2 linked regions of the Arabidopsis thaliana genome follow. The protein of the gene in region 1 interacts with the protein of each later gene in a pairwise test. Each region holds a gene or a part of one and is shown on either strand. Other genes may lie near its edges.

Region 1 (4,191 bases):
GTCTAATTATGTTCGATTATTGTATTATCTTTTTTTTGTTCCCTATGTATAACTGAGTAATTCTATTTTGAAAAATACTTTCTTGCACTTTTTTGGCCATCGATGACCATTAGAACCGTCAGAGTTGCTTGAAGCTGAAACCGTAGTTCCCTAAACAAAAACTGTTGATACTCAAATCATACAATTCATGTAAAGGTTTAAGGAGAAGGACGGATAATCTCTTATAAGACGAATTAGGTTTGGCGAATACAAGATTATACAAGGTGAAGGTACGAGTTTACAAGGACAATCCGAGAAGACAATGTATCCAACTCGTTTGAATAAAGGTGCAAGAATGACGGACAAGGCGTTTGGTTCGAAAGATGTTCGTACGTACTAACGATTAAAAAAAGGCTTCCTAGGAACTCAATGGGGAAACTTGTACGAAGGAGATTACATGTACTCTCTACATATGTGTCAGCGTGAAATTCGGGATCCTTTCTCGACAGTGTTTTTCCGCTTTTATAGGGAAGATATATGCGGTCATGAACTCGGGATGATTTTTCTTTTCTGCTCCCAGCAAATTGACGATACTTAATGGGCTGAGCTTGTGTAACGGACCAAACGCAAGTCTCTTTCTTATGGGCCTAACTATATTTGGGCCGGGCTTTTTGGAATGGGGCGGAACCCATGTCCAACAAAAAAACAGAAAACTAAAGTATTAATATATGTTGCTAAAAGAAATTTTAATTGTTAAGAAAAATCTTGTTATTCATGGAAAAAGAAAATAAGTTTTTCTTCAAATTTTATTAAACATGGTATGATTAAATTTATTTTTATACTATAAACTATATAATCTCTTTTTCTAGCTTAAAGTGAGCTGGAATTTTCTTTAAGAATTTTAAACCATTTTCTTACTCAAGTTTTTTTTTTTAATCTAAATAAAGGTTAAATAGTATTTTTCTCTAAATACATATTAACCAATCTATAAAGTAAAAGAATTTAAGGGAAAACTATTAAAAGTTTATTAAAGTAATTTTTATTTACACAAAAATTAGTTTCTTATTCTTTAGATTTAGTTTTCCTTCCTTTTTTTTTTCTTTTTTTTTCCTTGAGAATCTTGAAAATAATATATATATATATATATTAAAATATATATCTGTGTATTAAGAAATATTAAAATAGATGTATGAAGCTAAATACAGAAACAAATCTTAAATAATTATTGTCCAGCTAAGTGTGAGCTGGAAATTTCTTTAACAGATATAAAACCACATTCTTACTCAATTGTTCCTTTTATTATCTCTTTAATTTATTTATATTATAGTTTTTGATATCCGTTTTTAATTAATGTTTTCATAACCGTTGGAACCTTTAGGTTCGAAAGACAAACGAATTTTGACAAATTAGAAAACGGAAATAAATAACTGTACATAAAAGTTATGTTTCGGTAAATATTATGACAGAATTATTTATTCTAGAATACCAACGAAATTGTTCGTGTCCAAAAAAGAAAAAATGAATCAAATTTGTTGTGAAGAGTTTAATTTAATCCATTGTTGAAATCAAATTCTCTACTAAACTTCAAACATGGACAAACAGTTTTAAATTACATCTATAATTAATTTTAGGTATTATTATTCATCTTAAAAAAACATGAGCATACAAGAAAAAAAGACAAATGGATACCGATCGAACTAAAACAAACCCTAGTTCAACTCTCAAACTGAAAAACATGAAGAGGAAAGAAAAAGCAAACAGAAACGAACTAAAACGTCCAGAACTGAACACTCTTAAATCTCCAATATTTATTTTAAAGACTCCAAATTGGCCTTCTCAGCGACGCCGTCTCCTCCTTCACAAGCTCAAACTGTGGTTGTGGCTGTTGTTGTTGCTGCTGATGTTGTATCACTGGCGGTAGCATTACCATTAAAGGTGGAATTGTAATTATCACTAATAGTACTGTAATTAGTTGAAGGTGCATGATCTGTCATTGTAGAAACCGGAAACACCATCTGACGATGACCAGTATTTACAACCGTACAAGGGAAAACGTTATTACTAATATTATCACCATTAAAGGTGTAACTAGGAAAATTCCTATTTGGCTGGATATCTTCATTGGAGGTGGTGGTGACACCATGTCCCGTGGCTGCGAAAATGGCAGGCTCGGCATTCTGGAGGAGCCAACTGACAGTTTCACCATCGGTTTTAAAGCCGAGTTCTTTTGTCAATCTAAATAGTTGGGGAGCAACACTCGGCGGGATCCGAATGCGACGATCACGGCCACCAATTTTCAAATGGCGGTCTTTTGGAGTCCTTCTTGCCTTTTGGCTGTTGTTAATTCCATTTTTCGAATCCATTTTTCTCTGTTTTTTTTTTCTTTTTCTTTTGTAAATGGAAGTGGAAAATATGTTTGTTTCACTTGGATTATATAGAAACGTTACAGAAAACTCTATTTCTATTTATGTTATGTATGGAAAACAATAATGGTGTAACAAACTAATAATTAAACTAATTGGTAAATAGAAGAAATCTTAAATTTATATAGGTATATTTGAGAATGAAATATTATCATGTAATATAATATGTAGTATAGAAAATATATTTAGTGGACCTGAAAAAAAGAAGTTATATTGGAATAATTAATTGATAGGTCCACTAAAAAAAGGAAAATAAACCTTTCTTCTGGCAGTTTACAGAAATTATTATTTACTGATACAACTGTACAAGTATAGTCCTATTTTATCCTATTTTAATTTTTTTAAAGTTAAGGTTTTAGTTTTTTTCCTTAGAAATTAATGATATTCCAACATTGTTATTTAAAATATTATATTGTTATTTTTAAACTAGGTGTTTGGATAGGAGTTCGCATATTTTTTTTTGGACGGTTAATTTGTTCTTCAGATATTGTCTATTTGTTTATTTATCAAACTATATTTCATTTAGGGTCAAATTCCCCGGACTATCAATTCTGAAAATAGAGATTCAGACTTAAAAATATATATCCAGAAAATTCCCTTAAGCTAACCCATTCGGGATAAAAAGTTTTTGAGGCTTAATCCCACCAGATTCAAGCCGGCCTAAAAAAATTTTAATTTTTTTTTTTACTTTTCTTTTGTTAATATTTTTCTTTAATTGGAATATTTGTTTTTGTTTTTTTTAATAGTATTGAAAACCCTAAACCTAGTTTTTCAATTGTGCCTTACTATAAATCTAAAAAACAAATCTTGGCTCGACTGTCTAGATTAAAATCTTCTGATTTTATATTTTATTTGTTATGAGTTTAAATAAAAAAATTAGATTATTTTTTTTGATTTTAAACCTTTTTTTTTGAAAATAAACTGGCTTTCATGGTTATTTAAATTTCAACTGATTTGTTTTGTTCATATATCCATCTTTCAGAAATATTATAAATTATAAATTTGTTTTTTTCTGGAAAGAAAAACATAAAAAACCTGGAAAAGTCTTGTCCCTGTTATTACCAGATCTTGAAATATAAGTTCAAATTTTTTTATTTCAAAATTTTTACTAACCGAACCAGACTAAATAAAATATATTCGAATTTTCTGGACTTTGTCAGACTGGACTAGTCCAATTGACATGTCTAAACTATTATAATAAATTATTTGTATGTAAGAAAATATATCCAAGTAAAATGATGGGTTACAAGACAGATGGTTTAGAAATAACCTGATATCATATTACCCGACTCTTACACATACTTTGTTTTCTTAAAACGGATAAGAGTTGGATAACATACTGTATATTGTTTGGTCAGCCTTACTGTTTTCATTTCCAAACTGACTTTTCAAATAAAGAACTAAAAAAAAGTCATCACCATCATTTTGAGCATGTTTCTATAACTCAAGCGGAACACTTTTAGAATTCGTCAAATCAAATATATTTTGACTCATTTTAAATCAAATATTCACTTTTACGAGAATAATTAACGAATTCTATCATCATTGAGCTATGATTTCATACGTATACCTTATAATTTAGATTATACTCTAAATTAGTGTGATGTTAAAAATTCAACAAATATTTAACCCTCAAACACTTACCGAGGTACTGTGTAAATGACTTCTTACATACTATTGAGCGTTCGAATTAATTGATCAAATAGAGATTTGCTTTTCAGCTATTTTTTTTTTTTTTGAATTACTAAGAGGTTTTTGGGATTTTCAGCTTTATCTGTTTGAGATTAAT
Region 2 (4,798 bases), about 11 Mb from region 1:
AGATGAACAGATTGTTTAACGACCAATTGAGAAAGTATATAAGCTGGTTTCCAATCAGATCGATTCCGATTAACCACTTCTAAAACAAGCTCTTCGGTTAAGTCTATCCCGCACTTATCGAGAATCCGCTTAATCTTTTCAGGTGAACTTCCACGGTGATGCTTTATGATGTTATGAACATCAAGAGCAGATTGCTTGTCTTTGTCGTCGTTGAATCTATTTGGAAATTTGTCGGGAGCTCCAAGAGAATGAAGAAAGTGTGTACCCAGAAAGTGGAACCTGGAGAGAGTGATATTGTTCTTATGATTCGGTGTCTCGGGAGGAAAAACACGGCGAAAATCGACCAATGATGAGATCCGGCGCCGCGATAGAGCACTTTGTAGCTGAAACAAGATTTCAATTTTGTTTTTCCCTCCCATCTTCACTAAACTCTCTAAAGATCTTCCGAAGCAAAACGTTACATATACAACAACAAAAATTGCAATGAAAAATACATATCTTTTTACCAAAAATGAATTAAACCGGATTTTTTTAGTAAGGTTGAATGATCATTATTTGTTTAAGAACAGCATTATTTGTTAGTGATTGCTATTAAAATACGAATGATAACAAATTTTAGTATATGAAATTTCATTCGTTTCGGACAAAAAAAATAATTTTTATTGAATAAAGAATTTATTTCGATTGAAGTGATATTGTTTGGTACCGAAAGTTTTGCTTACAAACAAACAGAGGTTTTGAATATAGAGACAGCATAAAAGTGAAGCTAGCTTAAGTCTATAATCATGTTTAAGAAAATTAAACAGTAGTATCTTCTTAATGAAACGTAAAGATAATATATTTAAATAAATGAATCTTTTTATTTTCTGATATCCAGCTGATTCTGTGGCCCAAGAAACCCAATCCATTATCCATGGCGTGAAGACATATGTAGCTGTCGTAAAAGAATAAACAAAGACCAATTAAAAAAGAGCCAATTAACAACCAAATTACATAAAATTTATTAAAACTAATCTATTAATCACACGTCTTGTTCTGCCGTCAGAATGTAATTACCGTCCGTCTTTTAGGAAACAAAGAACAAAACAAACGGCGGGCCCACCGCCGTTAGAATCTCTCTCGGTTAGCCGACGCGGCCACCATTCTCTCTCTCTCTTCATCCATTCTCCACGCGTCGCGTTGACCACGTGGCACTATACATCTTTAAAACTCTTTCTATTTTATTTAAATAGCGAGTGCGTTGTGGGCCATCTTTGTTTTTCTTTGGCGGAGGGGCGGCTAAATAGCCTTTTGTTTTTATTTTAGTTTTATTCCGCGAAAGAAAAAGCAGTCAAACTCCAAGTTGAATTTGGAGCTGAGTCTACGAAGTCACGCATAACGCTCTTTCTTTCACGCGATCGCCGTCGGCACGTGTTTGGCGGTGAGATTCACGCTCGTACATGGAAACGCGGTTCCCAAGCCGCGCGTCCTCAAGGTGTTGCCACGTATTTTACATTTTTGCGTCATCCAATACTGTTCTTTGGTTTCTTCTTCTCTCTTCTTTTCAGGCGCCGCTGCTTAACTTATTTCCTAGTTTTTGAAGTTACTCTTGTCTTTAACTCACACTGCCATATAGTATGACTTTATTTACCTGTATTTTCAAATTTTTACACACATAACAGTATCTTTAGTTGTTTATTGGTCTTACAAAAAATTGGGTATTTTTTAAACCAAAAGTTTTGAGATACGAAAACAAAATTGATATGATCTGAAAAATTAGTTACTCACATATTTGTTCAAGTTTTTTTCTCAATTATGCAAGCATTAAGGTTGATCCAACAGGTTATGAGAAAACAAACTGAGTTCATTACAAGTGTACTCACTAGAGCAAGCTTGTGTAGTTATATCCTAAATCATGAGGGTAAATGGCACATGACAATTCGTAGTTAGATTAACTATATATATTAAATTAAGATGTGGGATTACATTCTTAATTCCCTCGGTTATGAAAATCAAAATCTTATCACCAGCATTCAAGGGAATACGCTGTGTAGACAAAACAGCAAACAACATGCATCTCCATTAAATGCGTCAAATACTGTACGGATTTCTTTAGTTTTTTTGTTACAAATTGTATCAAAAGTTTGTTAGTACATTGTACATACAGATAACAAATGAATTTCACTTTTTAGATAAAATAGTTTACACAAAAAAAAAAAAAAAAGACTTTGCATCCAATATTTTCCACCACAAAATAAATCATTCAAAATACGGATTGATTAAATATGTATCATAGTAAGATCTATATTTCAAAATTTATCCTTATTTCATTAAGAACTTTAATGCAAAGATTACATAGTCCAATTAATTTTCTCATTGCCAAATATTAATAATTAAATTAAAGATCCAGTGATAAAAAGTTTTATTTTAAAATTAAAGTCAATCAAATTAATGTATTTAATTTGTATCTATATTTTTGACAATGTATTCAACTTTTTAAATACATCAATAAATTCATTAATAAGATGATCAACAAAAATTGAAAACGCTTGGTGAGGTTAAAAAAGAAATGAAGGGTTGATAAGAAAAACAAAATTCTTTGAAAGAGGAAAGAAAAACACGTGGCAAAAGATAAGTGGAGGTAAAAAAGAAAACCATGAAAACCGCTGGTGTTTTGTAAGAGAAGCCGCTAAAACCATTTCAGGCTTTGACTGTTCACAACAAAGCGCCCCAAAAGGAGCGTCGCTTTTACTCTCTCTCCCATCCTATATATAAACAACTCTCTCCTTTCCTCTTCTCCCTTCAATTATCTATCACACCACCACTCTCTCTCTAATCTATCTATCCGAGAATGGCCAAGATGGGCTTGAAACCCGACCCGGCTACTACTAACCAGACCCACAATAATGCCAAGGAGATTCGTTACAGAGGCGTTAGGAAGCGTCCTTGGGGCCGTTATGCCGCCGAGATCCGAGATCCGGGCAAGAAAACCCGCGTCTGGCTTGGCACTTTCGATACGGCTGAAGAGGCGGCGCGTGCTTACGATACGGCGGCGCGTGATTTTCGTGGTGCTAAGGCTAAGACCAATTTCCCAACTTTTCTCGAGCTGAGTGACCAGAAGGTCCCTACCGGTTTCGCGCGTAGCCCTAGCCAGAGCAGCACGCTCGACTGTGCTTCTCCTCCGACGTTAGTTGTGCCTTCAGCGACGGCTGGGAATGTTCCCCCGCAGCTCGAGCTTAGTCTCGGCGGAGGAGGCGGCGGCTCGTGTTATCAGATCCCGATGTCGCGTCCTGTCTACTTTTTGGACCTGATGGGGATCGGTAACGTAGGTCGTGGTCAGCCTCCTCCTGTGACATCGGCGTTTAGATCGCCGGTGGTGCATGTTGCGACGAAGATGGCTTGTGGTGCCCAAAGCGACTCTGATTCGTCATCGGTCGTTGATTTCGAAGGTGGGATGGAGAAGAGATCTCAGCTGTTAGATCTAGATCTTAATTTGCCTCCTCCATCGGAACAGGCCTGAGCTTTTAACGGTGTCGTTTCAATTCGAAGCGCATGCGTTTCTTCTTCTTTTTGAGCTGTGAAAATTCGTTTTCTCATAGTTTTTCCTCTCTCTCTCTCTCAGTCTAAATTTATTACCAGTTTTTAGAAAGAAAAAACAGATTAAATCTGAGAGAGAAAAATATAATTTTAGCTGACATGGATCGTTATGTACATATTATTACATAACCGGAGATCTGAACTTTTGTTGTGTGCTTTTAATTTTTTGCGACTTGGTTTCACCCCATGTTGTTTCTCTATTTTTTTTACTACTTTTTTTTTTTTTGTTCTTCCAAATTTTCAATCAATAATTTGGTAATCTTCAGAATTATCTTGTCCAATCCAATTTCCGAAATTTTGATTATTACTACTTGTGGGTTGTGGCGGCTCCTTCTATTGGCTTTCCTTTTCTATCGTTACCACCAAATTAAAAAAATTGAAGGGACTAAAATTACTTATTTGACAAAACAAAATAATTGTAAGTTGAAGTATAAGAAAAACTAAAATTCAAAGTGAGATTAATAAAATGGTAGTTGAGTATCGTCGGCTTTTAACAATGGTCCAAGTTTCCAGCAGACACGCAGCCGGCGTGTGTGGGCCCTCGTTTTGCTCTCTGCGGCGTAAGTTAGAAAATTCTTTGCGCTTACGTCACTTAGTAGTAGGGTCCACTCACAGAGTACGGACATACTCATTTCTTTTCTTTCTAGCTAACTTGGAAGAGTCTTGAAGCTGAGAGTTAACACTCTTTAGGTCTGACAGAGAGAACCTAGATTTTTAATTTGATAGATTCTTAAATTTGGAAAAGAAACTGCCACAAAACAAAGATAAGATTTTGTTCAATTTTTTTTAAGAAAGATCTCTAGTTTCGTAAACAAATTTTTGTCGGCAAAAAATGGAAAAAGAGTACACAAAGTCTCTAAAGAAACAACTATGACTAGTCTAGATATTGGTTTTTTTTATCTGAAAGCTTTTAGAATATATAGCTTATAGTGCAAAATTAATTTTCTTTAAACTATGACATTGAATTGATTCGGAGTTGAATTGGACTAAACCAACATCATTTGACCCGTTAAGCTAACAATAGTGTTATTTATAGATATTCTTTTGGCCAATTATTTCTAGATGGCTGGTCTTTTTGAATTTTATTTCGTTGTTTTAAATTTGTGCGGAAAGTAAATTTAACTTGCGAAATTTTTTATTGAATGATGGCGTGATGTGTTGAAAATGTAAATATAGGTACAAAACAATGATGTTAAAAGTTTGAAAGAAAACGACGACGTAT

Evidence for each region. Proteins that work in one complex are often made in the same cells at the same time.
Region 2: the proteins of TCP16 (region 1) and ERF4 interact in binary tests that used the Arabidopsis thaliana proteins (3 or more experiments, as listed by UniProt).

The regions. Positions count from the first base shown.
Region 1 is NC_003074.8:16,529,330-16,533,520, reverse strand, and holds TCP16 (TCP domain protein 16), read right to left. Parts: upstream 2,343-4,191; coding exon 1,845-2,342; downstream 1-1,844. UniProt on the Arabidopsis thaliana protein: Required during early processes in pollen development.
Region 2 is NC_003074.8:5,118,642-5,123,439, forward strand, and holds ERF4 (ethylene responsive element binding factor 4), read left to right. Parts: upstream 1-2,780; 5' UTR 2,781-2,830; coding exon 2,831-3,499; 3' UTR 3,500-3,921; downstream 3,922-4,798. Other genes in the region: AT3G15200 (Tetratricopeptide repeat (TPR)-like superfamily protein), read right to left, coding at 1-419.